Lonchura striata: one gene and its partner. The protein of the gene in region 2 purifies or fractionates together with the protein of the main gene of each other region. This does not show direct contact. Links are inferred from orthologs where the notes say so. Each region holds a gene or a part of one and is shown on either strand. Other genes may lie near its edges.

What was found. The genes of interacting proteins can lie anywhere in the genome.
Region 1: the proteins of KMT5C (region 2) and CBX3 purify together in Homo sapiens (affinity purification with western blotting; 3 studies listed by BioGRID and IntAct, with this or other methods). This does not show direct contact. The link is inferred for Lonchura striata from reciprocal best matches to the Homo sapiens genes KMT5C and CBX3.

The regions. Positions count from the first base shown.
Region 1 is NC_134603.1:123,910,347-123,917,750, forward strand, and holds the start of CBX3 (chromobox protein homolog 3), read right to left. Parts: upstream 3,009-7,404; 5' UTR 2,888-3,008; intron 1,362-2,887; exon of another isoform or gene 1,335-1,361; coding exon of another isoform or gene 1,311-1,334; intron 1-1,310. Other genes in the region: HNRNPA2B1 (heterogeneous nuclear ribonucleoproteins A2/B1), read left to right, coding at 3,264-3,293.
Region 2 is NC_134640.1:2,777,994-2,784,985, reverse strand, and holds the start of KMT5C (histone-lysine N-methyltransferase KMT5C), read right to left. Parts: upstream 3,005-6,992; coding exon 2,990-3,004; intron 2,804-2,989; coding exon 2,646-2,803; intron 1,021-2,645; coding exon 858-1,020; intron 1-857. UniProt on the Homo sapiens protein: Histone methyltransferase that specifically methylates monomethylated 'Lys-20' (H4K20me1) and dimethylated 'Lys-20' (H4K20me2) of histone H4 to produce respectively dimethylated 'Lys-20' (H4K20me2) and trimethylated 'Lys-20' (H4K20me3) and thus regulates transcription and maintenance of genome integrity.

The sequences.
Region 1 (7,404 bases), on a different chromosome or scaffold from region 2:
CACCACATATGACAGATGTAGATCTATGGATAAACACTCTTTCGTTGAGGGGCAAGGTTAAAACACTGATGTGACACTGTGGTGTAAAATTTTAACATACAAGATGTAAGAAAATTGGAATTACAGCTCTAGAGCTACCCTACCCCTTAACATATTTAGGTTTTGCATGCAAATATATAACTAAGCAGAATTAGTTATGGTTCCCATGGGAACCATAACTGATTTTCCTGACCTGTACAGCAAAATTCTCAATAACATCAAAAGATTAAAAATACCACATTCAAAAGATTTTTTTCCTCTCTCCAAAGCACCCTTTCCCAGGCTGGCTAACTTCTTCTCTTCTTCAAATTAGGGATAAGTGGACAATCAATTACTAACAGAAAGTTTAGACATTCATCTCGGTGAAATATTTTAAACCAGTACAACACAGAGGAAGCACTCCGTTGCACTTCTAAGCCAGGAGTTAATAAAAGTTTTGAATATATTTTGAACTGAGTAAACATTTCTGTAAATTTAAGAACAGGCCTTTCGAGACTATTATAAACCAGCTGTTCTGCTGCTGGAGTTTTGAATTGTGCACATATATTTTGGCTTGCTTCCCCATCTCAATCTCAGATACATCTCACAATATACTTCTACAGGTCTGTCTTTCATGAAACTATGTATCAGTATTAGTTGAACTGCAACCAGCAACCAACTGCCATTGGAAGTCCATATTTTAATGTCAAGCAAAGCTTTAGAGGACTTGAGATCCATGAATGCATCATTAAAATGGTCCAGGAAGGGTTGACATCTGATAATCTCTGCTCCTATGAAATTCAAAGAAACTGTTATTTGTTAAAAAGCATTTCAAAAGGCATCTTAATTATGCCACATCATTTCTCAATAATGTTACTTTCCATCTGTAAAGATTGCCTTTTGTCAGGCAAATATTTTTCTCCAAATACACTGGGAGAAATTAAGTGAATACATGATTTAGACTTTATTTTTTACATGTATGATGAATTACATGGTATGCTGAAAGGAGGCTAAAAAAAATCCTCAGTATTTTCTATTGTAGAATAGATGAAATAGTGCAGAGTCCTTTCATACTTTTTTCTCAACACGTTTCTCTTTAGAAATGGCAGATTTATTAAAACCAAAGACAATGTCCTTTCTAGTAGCCTTACTTTCTGGATCTGAAATTTGGTCAGAATAATGCTGGGGAGGGGAGATGTGGATGTATCTTTTAAATGGAGATGCCAAGTTATAAGTTTGAAGAAAAATATGTTGATTAAATCCTTATATACTTTAGGTGTGCATGAACTTACCAATGTAGTTTTATTGGAGGCCATTTTTATTGCAGACTTGCAGAGCTTTTACTAGAAAAATGCATGACAATTAAAAGGAAGTTTGCATTACTCAAAGAAAGGCATCCCAAGACAAGCATGGTCCTTGTTCCAACCCCCATGTATTCACTGCATACAACATTTCTTACACGGATTAAATCCAGAACAAAAAGTAGGTTACTACTTTGTCCGGCATAACCCAGTAATGCACCATTAGGCTAGCCAGGATAAATGATACTGACAAGGTGGTATATAGGGTTGAAAAAAATTTTTCCCAAGGCCTTCAAAAGCATAGACATGTTTCTAGGGAAAAGGGGGAGGACCATCAGGGATGCTCATTTCCTTAAACCAAATAGAAACAGAGCTCAAATTCTAGCAATTGAAGACATACCTAAGGTATATTAACTGTAAATATCTGATGGGGAAGATATATATATTTGTGGTGCAATGAATCACCCATTATTCTTACATGGTAGCAAATTCTTATAAACAGCAAATATTTCTCTTAATGCAACTATAATGTTGCCTTCTGATTCTCAAGTTGGCAAGAGTTAAGGTCCTAAAACAATATTAACTCAGCTAAGATGTACATACTACATATTTAACCTATGCAAATTAGGTTGAACACAATCCATCCCCTTTTCCATGTCATTTCTCATACCGACCAGCTCCATAGGCATGTATTGTCACCGCCCCGCAGCGAGCTATAGAAATGCTAGAATTCCCCATATGCCTGGGTAAAGCAGAAAAGTCCTTTAAGGCCAGAAAGCCTTCCGGACTCAGCAATCCCGCCCAATCCTCCCCTGACACGGGAGGCGGATTTTGGCAGCCGCATGGGCGGTGGGTTAGGCGAGGTGGGAAAAGGGCCGGGGCCAGGGCGCCAGTGCCGAAGGTCTTGCCTTGCGTCCCCCGGAGAGGCAGCAGAAAGGGGTAAAAAAAAAAAAACCCAAAACCCAATAGCAACAATCCCCCCCGCCACAAACCAGAGGCAGCCCTGCGGAGGCCTGCTGCGCCTCGGGCCTGCGGCGGGCGCACATGAGGCCGGCGGGGCTGCCCCGGGCGAGGTAACGGGGACGCAGGCCTGGGCCGCTTCCGCCGCCGCTGACAGGGCCCCTCCACGCCATCTTCCCCCCGCCCCTTCACGTCTTCCCCGGGCCGAGCACACGTAGGGACCGCCGGCGGGCCGGCTTTGTCTGCCGCGCGGGTGCCGCTGCCCCCGCCCCCGGCACTGCTCTCCTTCCCCTGGGGCGACAGCGCCCGCGTGCCCGGGCGCCGGCCTGCCTCCCTCCCTCCCTCCCTCCCCGAGCGGGTGCCGAAGCCCCGATTCCCCGACAGCTCCGCTCCGCCCGCCACCCCCCACCGCCAAGGAAGCGGGGGTGGGGAAGAAGCGGCGGTGGGGGGAGGCGGGCGGGTTGCGCTCCGCATCTCCCCGCGGCGGCCCGCAGCGAGCCGCAGAGGAAAGGGGAGTCAGGGAAAGGGACTCGAGGGTGAATGGGGTGAAAGGAAGCGGCTGCAGCGAAAGAAAAGAGGGAGAGAGAGAGAGAGAGAAGGATACAGACTTCAATGGTGCCCAGCCGCTTAGGTCTCCTGTCTCCTCCTGGCTCCCGCCCTGCGCGCACTGAGCGGCGGCGGCAGCAGCAACAGCGACATCCGCGGGGGGCTGAGGCGGGGGGTGGGGGCAGGGAGGGAGCGAGAGAGGGAGGGCGGGAGCGGAGGGCGGAGAGCGGCGCGGCGGTGGCGGGCTGGGCTGGGCTGGGCCGGGCGAGCTCTGCGCGCCGGCGGCTGTGACGGGGCAGAGCGCACGACGCCGCCGCCGCCTACGCGCGAGCCGCTACAACCTCCGACCGTCGTCGCCGCCGGCACAGGAGGGGGGCCAAGACGTCTCTCCAACGCGGGGCGAGCGCAGGACCGCGCCAGGCGTCCAAAAGAAGGAAGATGCCTCGCGGCGACAGGGAAAGCGACTGGGTAAGCCTGGGGGAGCGGGCGGGGTTGGCGGACCCCGAGAGCCACGGCCGCCATCATGGCGGCCGCAGCGAATGCGCTTCGGGCCGATGCTGCCCGCCGCCGCGGAGCGAGGCCCTCGATCGGGGCGGCCGGGCGGGCCCCGGGCGTGGGGAGGGCAGGCGAGGAGCGCTGGCGTAGGTTTGAAGCTCGTTTGGAGGGGCCCCCTTTGGAGGGCGGCCATTTCCCGCGTTGCGGCGGGGAGGCCTGGGTGTGAGCAAGGGCGGGGGGAGGGAAGGGGGCTCGGGAAGCTGCGGGGCTCTGGGGCCCGAGAACTCATTCATAAGTGGGAAAAGGGGTCGGGGGAGTCGGCTGGGGAGCCTTCACTGCAGCCAGGAGAGCTGCGGGTGGATCCGCGGTGAAGCTGAAAGGGAGGGGGAGCAGAGGGGGCGGGAAGAAAGGAGCTGCTCCAGCGCCATTTCTTTGGCGCGCGGGGCGGCAGCACTCACCCTTTGTCGCGGTGCGCGTAGGGCCGCCGGAGAGGGAAAAAAGGAGGGGATGAAGGAGAAGAAGAGGACAGCGCGGCGGAGCGGGCAGCACGCCCGATGCCGATGGTGCGGGCTAGAGCGGAGCGAGCTGCGGCGAAGTCCGCCTCCCTCCGCCGGGGCCCCGCGATATATCGCACTTGTGCCAAAATCTGTGTAACTTTCACTTCCTCCTGCCTGGGCGGAGGAGGAAGGGGGCCAGGGCGAGGTTTCGGGGAGCGATGCGCTGCCGCCCCCGACTAATAATAACGCCGAGGTTTGTGCCTTCGGGGCCTTTTGTCAATTTCCATAAAAAAAACCAAACAAAATTGAGTGCCAGTAGCGTTCGAGGCCGCTACGGCTGCGCTCGGGCACGTCTCGCGAGCCTGTCGATGGTCAGAAACTGCCGAGTTGGCTGAAGTAGTCGGTGACTTGCTGCGTCTTTCTGTCCGGAAATTGCCGAGCTGGCCCCGAGCGCCATTTTCGCGTGCTGCGGCAGATTCCGGAAATTACCGAAGCGAGTCGAATGGGCTTCCATTCCTGGTTCGGCTTTTTCCGGCGGCTGTCGAAGCGGATAAGCTCGACGACGACAGCTCCTTCGGCTCATTTCGGAGACGGCCATTACTAACGGAGTCGATGACTTTCATTACACGATAAAAACACGTAGGGGCATTATTCAGAATTGCAGCCCCTTTGGAGATATTTAAGCTCCAGATCCTGTAGTTTTTTTTTTCTTTTTTTTTTTCTTTTTTTTTTTTTTTTTTAATTAATTAAACCTCGGAAGCGAGCCCGAGCTGGAGTACGAGGGCGCTAACACTACGCGGAGCTGAATTTCAAATTACGTAACAGCTCAGGCAGCCATTACCGACCAGTTGTACGGTACTCTCGAGCGGGAATACATAAACCATGAAGAACATGGTACGTGGAATGGGTGGATTTAGACCTTGCTTTTAAGGAGGGAGACGCGTTTGCTTGTGTAGACAGAGTGAATTTTTTCGGGACTCAGAATTACAAGCAAGCTTGAGTCGTCCGCACAAGTCCAGGCGCTGCCGCCGGTCGCAGCGCGGGGCGGATGCTGGATGTCTTTGCGCAGAGGAAGGTTTTGGAAGCGGCGACTGGGGCTGGCGCACAGCCGGGCGAGGCGGCGGAAGCTGCGGTAACCGCGCATGGCGGACAGCGCGTTCTTGAGCCCGTGGCCATGGCTATTAGCTGCGCTGCTGCTGAGGTGTCGGAGGAGCGGGGGGAGTCTGAGCCCCGCGGGCTGGGGGGGCCGTCTTGGCCCCCCGAGGCGCGGAGCGGCCGAGCGGCGCTGCGGGTAATGGCGGTGGCGAGGGGGAGGGGTAAAATGGCGGCCTGGCTGGGACTCGCGTCTGCGAGAGGCACTGGGGATCCCTCCGGCAGAGTGGGCAAGGCGGGCGTCAGCTGTAGTCGTCTGGTATGCACGGGGGCGAGAAGGAGCGCTGGAGAGGCCTTAGTACCGTGTGTGTAGGTGTACGCTGGCAGCAATTCGCAGCGCTGTCCCTGGAGGCGGCGGCTGCTCCCGGGCGCCATTTTCCCCGCCCGGCTCGGGGCCGCGGTGTTCCCGCTGCCGCCACATGGTGGAGCCGGCGCGGCCGCTGCGTCCCGGCCGCCACAGGCGGCGAGCGAGCTGCCGCTGAGGGGTTGCGGAGCTCTGGAGTTCAGGGATTCCCCCTCGCTCGTCTCCGGTAAACATTGCTGTTACCCGAGTTCTTAATTCCGCTGTCAGCGTGGATTGTGTCTGCGCACGTTACAGCTATGTGAAACACCTTTCCTTTCTCTGGTGATTAATTTTTTAGTAAAGGCTATGCGTTTTTCAGTGCTTTCAAGTTGCTTTAAGACTGTGGAGTAAAGCTTAAAATACACACGCATGAAGATCCTACAGAGGTAGAAATTTCCCTTAGTGCTTTGTTCCTGCCACGGGCCATACTGTGGAAATCTTGAAAGAGGTGTTAACCTCCAGCTTTTATATTGTGGCCTTTCCTAGGTATGAGGTGTCTGTCTGTAGCAAAAGAGTATTTTCCTTAGGACTCTATGAGACACTGGCATGATGATAGTTATTGTACATTTTATACCTTCAGCACAAACTTTAGATGTGCAGAACTCTCTGGACTTTGGTAGGTTAGTGTTAGGCCAACCAGAGCTTCTTCAGACTGGCTCATTTGAGACAGATAGTTTATCTGCATCTAGAGATTTCGTGTTAGTGGAGCAGCGTGTGTGCTGTTTTCGCACAGTGGTTTTCATTAAAGAACTGGTAATTAATTTCGTTATTGCTGTTTTCTGACGTGTGGTGCTTAGATGTTCTGGGTAGATCATGACCCTAAATACATCTGTAAAATGCATTACTATTCTGTTTAATGTCTGTTAGTTATATGTAGTATATTTTTATAATTGTTATTGTATATTTTATAATTTTACAATTGTTTCTTGAGTTCTGTTTGCAGGTTTGTAGCTGTTTTCAGGGGGTAACAATAACACTGGAAAAAATCCTGCCTGTCTACTAAACTTACTTAATTCTCATATTTTTATAATAATGTCCTTTATTAAATGGGTGGTAATAGATTTCATAGATCTACAAAAAAAACCACATTTTTATATCCAACTGTAAGCAAGTGGTCCCTAATTCTCAAGCAGCAGAACTGAAGGGAGGATTTTTATTTTTGCAGTATTGTTGCTTAAAAATTTTTCTTTGCTCTTTTACTCAAAATTAATAAATAATACTATGACATATGGTGAATATGTTTTTTTTATACTGGTCTGGTGTGCAGTGTTCTTTGTTCCTTTTATGTGATGAGGTGAAAAGGAATTAGTTGAAACATGTGTCTGCTGCTTGTGAACATGTGTCTTATTTTGCTTGTCCTTTTGTCTAAGGAGGAGACAGTACTAGCTTTCTTTGTGTTCTTAGAAGAAAAATAACTAGATCCAACAGCAGAGTCAAATATTTTTCAAGAGAAATTTGAACTGATCAATCTTAAATAGAGTATGTATTTGGAAGAAGGAGGGGAGAAAGTTGACTTCCTTGTCAGACTGCAGTATGAAAGGCTGGTAATACAGAGGTGTATTTTGAAAAAAAAACCCTGGGTTGTCACTGCCTACGGTAATTGTACTGTGTTACATGCATCTTGATCCAGGCCTACCTTGGACAACTTCAGAAAATACATTGGTCTGTGTGCAGATTGGCTTAATTCTTCCAAAAGCATATGTACACAGAAATATTTTGCTTGTTTTCTTAGTCTCAGTGTTTTTCTAGTTCTTTTTTTAAAATTTATCTTAATCCCCATTGCACAATTAATCATGTTGTGTTTGTCAGTTACACCTCCTGCTGTAATGTTTGAGTTGTATATAAAGCAACCACTACACTAATGAAAACACAGCCAAAGGCCCAAGCATATTTTCTTGATTATTAAAGTTAGTTAACAGTATAAAGCTGAAGTGATTTGGTTTGAGTTCTCTTGTCCAGAAGAGTTCTCTTCAAAACAACATTCCAAAATAATAAATGTGTGGAAGGGGACTACTTGTTAGTGCATTTTTTAAGTATTTGGCATGAAATTTTCACATGTATGAGCTAGTGATACTTTTGTATGTAGAAACTG
Region 2 (6,992 bases):
GCCCCATGGATCCCTCAGAATCCTTCCCTGTGCCTCATGGATCCCTCAGAAACCTTCCCTGTGCCTCATGGATCCCACAAAAACCCCCCAAAATCCTTCCCTGTGCCTCTCAGAAACCTTCCCTGTGCCCCATGGATCCCTCAGAAATCCCTCAGAATCCTTCCCTGTGCCCCACAGACCCCTCTGTGCCCCCCAATAGGACCCCAGCAGACCCCCCATTCATCCCTTACCCCCAAACCCCCCCGGGACCCCCCAGACTCCCCCCAAATCTCCCCCCAACCCTCCCAAACTTCCCCCAAACGCCCCCGGGACCCCCCAGATCTCCCCCAATCCCCCCCGGGACCCCCCAAACTCCCCCAAACTTCCCCCAAACGCCCCCGGGACCCCCCCAAACTCCCCCCAAATCTCCCCCCAAACCCTCCCGGGACCCCCAAATCCCCCCCGGGACCCCCCAAACTTCCCCCAATCCCCCCCGGGACCCCCCAAACCCCCCCAAATCTCCCCCAATCTCCCCAAACTTCCCCCAATCCCCCCCAGTCTCCCCCGGGACCCCCCAATCACCCCCAAACTCCCCCGAAACTCCCCCCAAACTTCCCCCAAACTCCCCCAAATCTCCCCCAAACCCCCCCAAACCTCCCCGGGACCCCCCAAACTCCCCCAAATCTCCCCCAAACCCCCCCAGATCTCCCCCAAATCCCCCCCAGTGCCCCCCAATCCCCCCAAACTCCCCCAGATCTCCCCCAAATCCCCCCCAGATCTCCCCCAATCCCCCCCGGGACCCCCCAAACCCCCCAAACTCCCCCCAAATCTCCCCCAATCCCCCCCAGTCCCCCCCAATGCCCCCAATCCCGCCGTACGTGGTTCTTGAGCGCCGCCCGCTGCGCCGCCCGCCGCCGGCGGAAGAACGCCGGGGCCCAGGCGCCGCTCAGCGTCCGCCACGCCGCCTCCAGGTCCCGCCGCTGCCGGAACGCCTCGATGGCCGCCCGCAGCTGGGCCCGGCGCCGCAGGGCGGGCAGGGGGCTGCGGGGCACCGGCCATCAGCACCGGCACCGGGCACCGGCACCGGGCATCAGCACCGGCACCGGGCAGGGGCACTGGGCACGGGCACCGGGCATCAGGACCGGCACCGGGCACCGGCACCGGGCACGGGCATGGGCACCGGGCACCGGGTATGGGCACCAGGCATGGGCACCGGGCATCAGCACCGGCACCGGGCACCGGCACCGGGCATGGGCACCGGCACCGGGCATGGGCACCGGCACCGGGCATCAGCACCGGCACCGGGCACCGGCACCGGGCATGGGCACCGGCACCGGGCATGGGCACCGGCACCGGGCATCAGCACCGGCACCGGGCATGGGCACCGTACCGGGCATGGGCACCGGGCATCAGCACCGGCACCAGGCACCGGGCACCGGGCATGGGCACCAGCACCGGGCACCGGGCATGGGCACCGGGCACCGGGTATGGGCACCGGGCATGGGCACCGGGCATCAGCACCGGGCATGGGCATCGGGCACTGGCACCGCACCGGGCATGGGCACTGGGCATGGGCACCGGGCATCAGCACCGGCACCGGGCACCGGCACCGGGCACCGGGCATGGGCACCGGCACCGGGCATGGGCACCGGGCATCAGCACCGGCACCGGGCATGGGCACCGGCACCGGGCACCGGCACCGGGCATCAGCACCGGCACCGGGCATCAGCACCGGCACCGGCACCGGGCATCAGCACCGGCACTGGGCACCGCACCGGGCACCGGGCATGGGCACCGGCACTGGGCATGGGCACCAGGCATGGGCACCGGGCACCGGGTATGGGCACTGGGCATGGGCACCGGCACCGGGCATCGGCACTGGGCATGGGCACTGGGCACCGGGCACCGGCACCGGGCATGGGCACCGGGCATGGGCACCGGGCATGGGCACCGGGCATGGGCACCGGGCACCGGGTATGGGCACTGGCACCGCACCGGGCATCAGCACCGGGCATGGGCACCGGGCATCGGGCATGGGCACTGGGCATCAGCACCGGGCACCGGGCATGGGCACCGGCACCGCACTGGGCATGGGCACCGGGCATGGGCACCGGCACCGCACTGGGCATGGGCACCGGGCATGGGCACCGGGCATGGGCACCGGGCATCGGGCATGGGCACTGGGCATCAGCACCGGGCACCGGGCATGGGCACCGGCACCGCACTGGGCATGGGCACCGGGCATGGGCACCGGGCATGGGCACCGGGCACCGAGCATCAGCACCGGCACCGGGCACCGCACCGGGCACCGGGCATGGGCACCGGGCATCGGGCATGGGCACCGGGCATGGGCACCAGGCATCAGCACCGGGCATGGGCACTGGCACCGGGCACCAGCACCGGCACCGGGCATCAGCACCGGGCATGGGCACCGGGCATGGGCACCGGGCACCGGCACGGACACATGGTGCCGCCCGGTTCTCCCTCCCGGTGCTCCCCCAGTGTCCCCCGGTTTTCCCCCCCGGTTCTCCCCCCCGTTTCTCCCTCCCGGTTCTCCCCCCCGGTTTTCCCTCCCGGTTCTCCCCCCGGTTCTCTCTCCCGGTTCTCCCCCCGGTTCTCCCCCCGGTTCTCCCTCCCGGTTCCCCCCGGTTCTCCCCCGCTCTGACCTGACGCCCATCTTGTGCGTGCGGAAGCCGAGCACCGAGTCCAGCACGAGGCTCGTGGCCAGGTCATCGTTCTCGCACAGCTCCCGCGCCGTCACCGCCGTCCCCGCCGCCCGCGCCGCCGCCGGCCGCTCCCGCCGCCGCCTCCTCCGCCGCCGCGCCTGCAGCACCGCGAGCGGCGTCAGCGGGAGCGCCCGCGGGGCGCAGCCCGAGCGCGCGGCGAGCCCCGGGAGCGCCGGGAGCCCCGGCCCGGCCGTTACCGCAGCGCCGGAGCCGCGGGAGCCGCGGGAGCCGCCGCCCGCACCGGGCCCGGCGCGGCCGCGGCGCCGCCGCCCGCCCGCTCCCGCCGCGCGCTCCGCCATCCCCATTGGCCGCCGCCCCGCCGCGCCGCCGCTCCCATTGGCTGCCCGCGAGGCGCACGGTGAGCTGATTGGTGGCAACCGCGGCGCTCCCGCATTGGTCCGCGGCGTTGAGGGCTGGCTATTGGCCCGCGGAGATGCCGATCAAAGCGTTTTGTCTTGTCATTGGTTGAATTCGCTCGAGGGCGGCTGAAATCCCTCCTTTTTATTCTATTGGCTAAACCCAACCGCCTTCCTCGCTTCCTATTGGCCTCCTCCCTCCCGCTCCTCCCTCGCTATTGGCCGAGCGCGCTGTCACTCACTCCGCCGGCTCACAATGCGCCGGCCATAAACAATGCGGCCGAAACCCCGCCCCTTCCGCCGCTGGCCCCGCCCACGCCAAGATGGCGGCGGGCAGGCGCGGCGGGCGGCGCTGAGCGGGGCCGGGCGGCACCGGCGGCTCCCGGCGGGCCCGGATCGGTCCCGGATCGGCCCCGGATCGGCCCCGATCGGCCCCGGGGCTCTCGGAGCGGCGCGCGGCGCGGCCATGGCAGCGGCGGAGGGCGGCGGGGCCGGCGGCGGCCGGCGGGAGCCGCCGCGGACGCTGCAGGGGCTGCTGGAGATGGCGCTGGCGGCCGGCGAGGCGCGGCCCGAGCCCCGCCAGCCCCTGCCCGAGGAGGTGCCGGCGCCGGGCGGGACCCGGGGGGCTCGGGGGGCTCGGGGGCGCTCTGGGGACGCTTTGGGGTCACTTTTGGGGCTCTGGGGACACTTTGGGGGCACTTTTGGGGGCACTTTTGGGGCTCTTTGGGGCTGTCTGGAAGCTTTGGGGGTTCTCTGGGGTCACTTTTGGGGCTTTTCAGCCTCTCTGGGGACACTTTTGGGACACTTTTGGGGCTTTGGAGTCACTTTTGGAACTTTTTGGCCTCTCTGGGGACACTTTTGTGACACTTTTGGGGCTCTGGGGTCACTTTTGGAGCTTTTTGGCTTCTCTGGGGACACTTTGGGGGCACTTTGGGGTCACTTTTGGGGCTCTGGGGTCACTTTTGGGGCTCTTTGGGCTCTCTGGGGACACTTTTGGGACACTTTTGGGGCTCTGGAGTCACTTTTGGAACTTTTTGGCCTCTCTGGGGACACTTTTCAGGCTCTTTGGGCTCTTTGGGGGCACTTTTGGGGCTTTGGAGTCACTTTTGGGGCTTTTTGGCCTCTCTGGGGACACTTTGGGGACACTTTTGGGGCTTTTGGGGCTCTTTGGGGCTGTCTGGAAGCTTTGGGGCTGTCTGGGGTCACTTTTGGGGCTTTTCAGCCTCTCTGGGGACACTTTTGGGACACTTTTGGGACACTTTTGGGGCTTTGGAGTCACTTTTGGAACTTTTTGGCCTCTCTGGGGACACTTTTGTGACACTTTTGGGGCCCTAGGGTCACTTTTGAGGCTCTGGGGTCACTTTTGAGGCTCTGGGGACACTTTTGGGGCTCTGGGGTCACTTTTGGAGCTTTTTGGCCTCTCTGGGGACACTTTTGGGGGCTCTTTGGGGCTGTCTGGGGGCACTTTTGGGGCTTTTTGGGCTCTTTGGGGTCACTTTTGGGGCTCTTTGGGGCTGTCTGGGGACACTTTGGGGCTTTTCAGCTTCTCTGGGGACACTTTGGGGGCACTTTTGGGGCACTTTGGCCTCTCTGGGGACACTTTGGGGGCACTTTTGGGGCTCTTTGGGGCTGTCTGGAAGCTTTGGGGCTGTCTGGGGTCACTTTTGGGGCTTTTTGGCCTCTCTGGGGACACTTTGGGGACACTTTTGGGGCCCTGGGGTCACTTTTGAGGCTCTGGGGACACTTTTGGGGCTCTGGGGTCACTTTTGGGGCTTTTCAGCCTCTCTGGGGACACTTTGGGGTCACTTTTGGGACACTTTGGGGGAACTTTTGGGGCTCTGGGGTCACTTTTGAGGCTCTGGGGACACTTTTGGGACACTTTTGGGACACTTTGGGGTCACTTTTGGGGCTCTTTGGGGTCACTTTTGGGGTCACTTTTGGGACACTTTGGGGTCACTTTTGGGGCTCTGGAGTCACTTTTGGGGGTTTGGGGGTCCCCGGGATAATTCGGGGTCCCAGGGCCTGGTTTGAGGTGCCAGAGGCGAATTTTGGGGTGACTCTGGCTGATTTTGGGGTGATTTTGCCCGATTTTGGGGTAATTTTGGCCGATTTTGGGGTGACTCTGGCTGATTTTGGGGTAATTTTGCCGGATTTTGGGGTAATTTTGGCCGATTTTGGGGTGACTCTGGCTGATTTTGGGGTGATTTTGCCCGATTTTGGGGTAATTTTGGCCGATTTTGGGGTGACTCTGGCCGATTTTGGGGTGATTTTGCCCAATTTTGGGGTAATTTTGCCCGATTTTGGGGTAACTTTGCCCGATTTTGGGGTGACTCTGGCTGATTTTGGGGTGACTCTGGCTGATTTTGGGGTAATTTTGGCCGATTTTGGGGTGACTTTGGCTGATTTTGGGGTGACTCTGGCTGATTTTGGGGTAATTTTGGCCGATTTTGGGGTAATTTTGGGTTAATTTAGGGTAATTTGTGCCCCCCAGGGCAGCAGCAGCTCCCTGCTCTGGTGTCGGAGACTGTGACGGGTTCTGGGTTAATCCCACTTTAATTTCACTTTAATTTGGTTTTACTTTCACTTTAATTTTGCTTTAATTTCACTTTAATTTCGCTTTAATTTTTGTTTAACCTCAGGGTAGCTTTGGGATAATTTAGGATAACTTTGGGATAATTATTTAGGATAACTCTAGGATAATTTATAATAATTTTGGGATAACTCAGGATAATTTAGGGTAACTTTGGGATAATTACTTAGGATAAGTTTGGGATAACTTAGGCTAACTTTGGGATAATTTAGGATAACTTTGGGATAATTATTTAGGATAACTTTGGGATAATTATTTAGAATAACTAGGATAATTTAGGATAACTTTGGGATAATTTATTATAACTTTGGGATAATTATTTAGGATAACTTTAGGATAATTTATGATAACTTTGGGATAATTTTGGATAATTTAGGATAACTTTGGGATAATTATTTAGGATAATTTAGGATAACTTTAGGATAATTTATGATAACTTTGGGATAATTATTTAGGCTACCTTCGGGATAACTTAGGACAATTTAGGATAACTTTAGAATAATTATTTAGGATAACTCTAGGATAATTTAGAATAACTTTAGGATAATTTATGATAACTTTGAGATAACTTAGGATAATTCAGGATAGCTTTGAGAAAATTACTTAGGATAATTTTGGGATAACTTATGATAACTTTAGGATAATTTATGATAACTTTAAGATAATTTATTATAACTTTAAGATAATTTATGATATTTTTTCCCCCCAGAGGCAGCAGTGGCTGCGGCAGGCCGTGTCCCAGGCGCTGGCCGGGCCCGGGTTCACCCCGCTGTGACTCTGGGATAACTCAGGGATAATTTATGATAATTTAGGATAATTTATTATAACTTTAAGATAATTTATGATATTTTTTCCCCCCAGAGGCAGCAGTGGCTGCGCCAGGCCGTGTCCCAGGCGCTGGCCGGGCCCGGGTTAATCTTGGTGTGACTCTGGGATAACTCTGGGATAATTTAGGATAATTTAGGCTAACTTTGGGATAATTTATGATATTTTTTCCCCCCAGAGGCAGCAGTGGCTGCAGCAGGCCGTGTCCCAGGCGCTGGCCGGGCCCGGGTTCACCCCGCTGTGACTCTGGGATAACTCTGGGATAATTTAGGATAATTTATGATAACTTTAGGATAATTTATGCTAACTTTGGGATAATTTATGATAATTTCTGTCTCCCAGAGGCAGCAGTGGCTGCGGCAGGCCGTGTCCCAGGCGCTGGCCGGGCCCGGGTTCACCCTGCTGTGACTCTGGGATAACTCTGGGATAATTTATGATAATTTATGATAACTTTAGGATAATTTATGCTAACTTTGGGATAATTTATGATAATTTCTGTCTCCCCAGAGGCAGCAG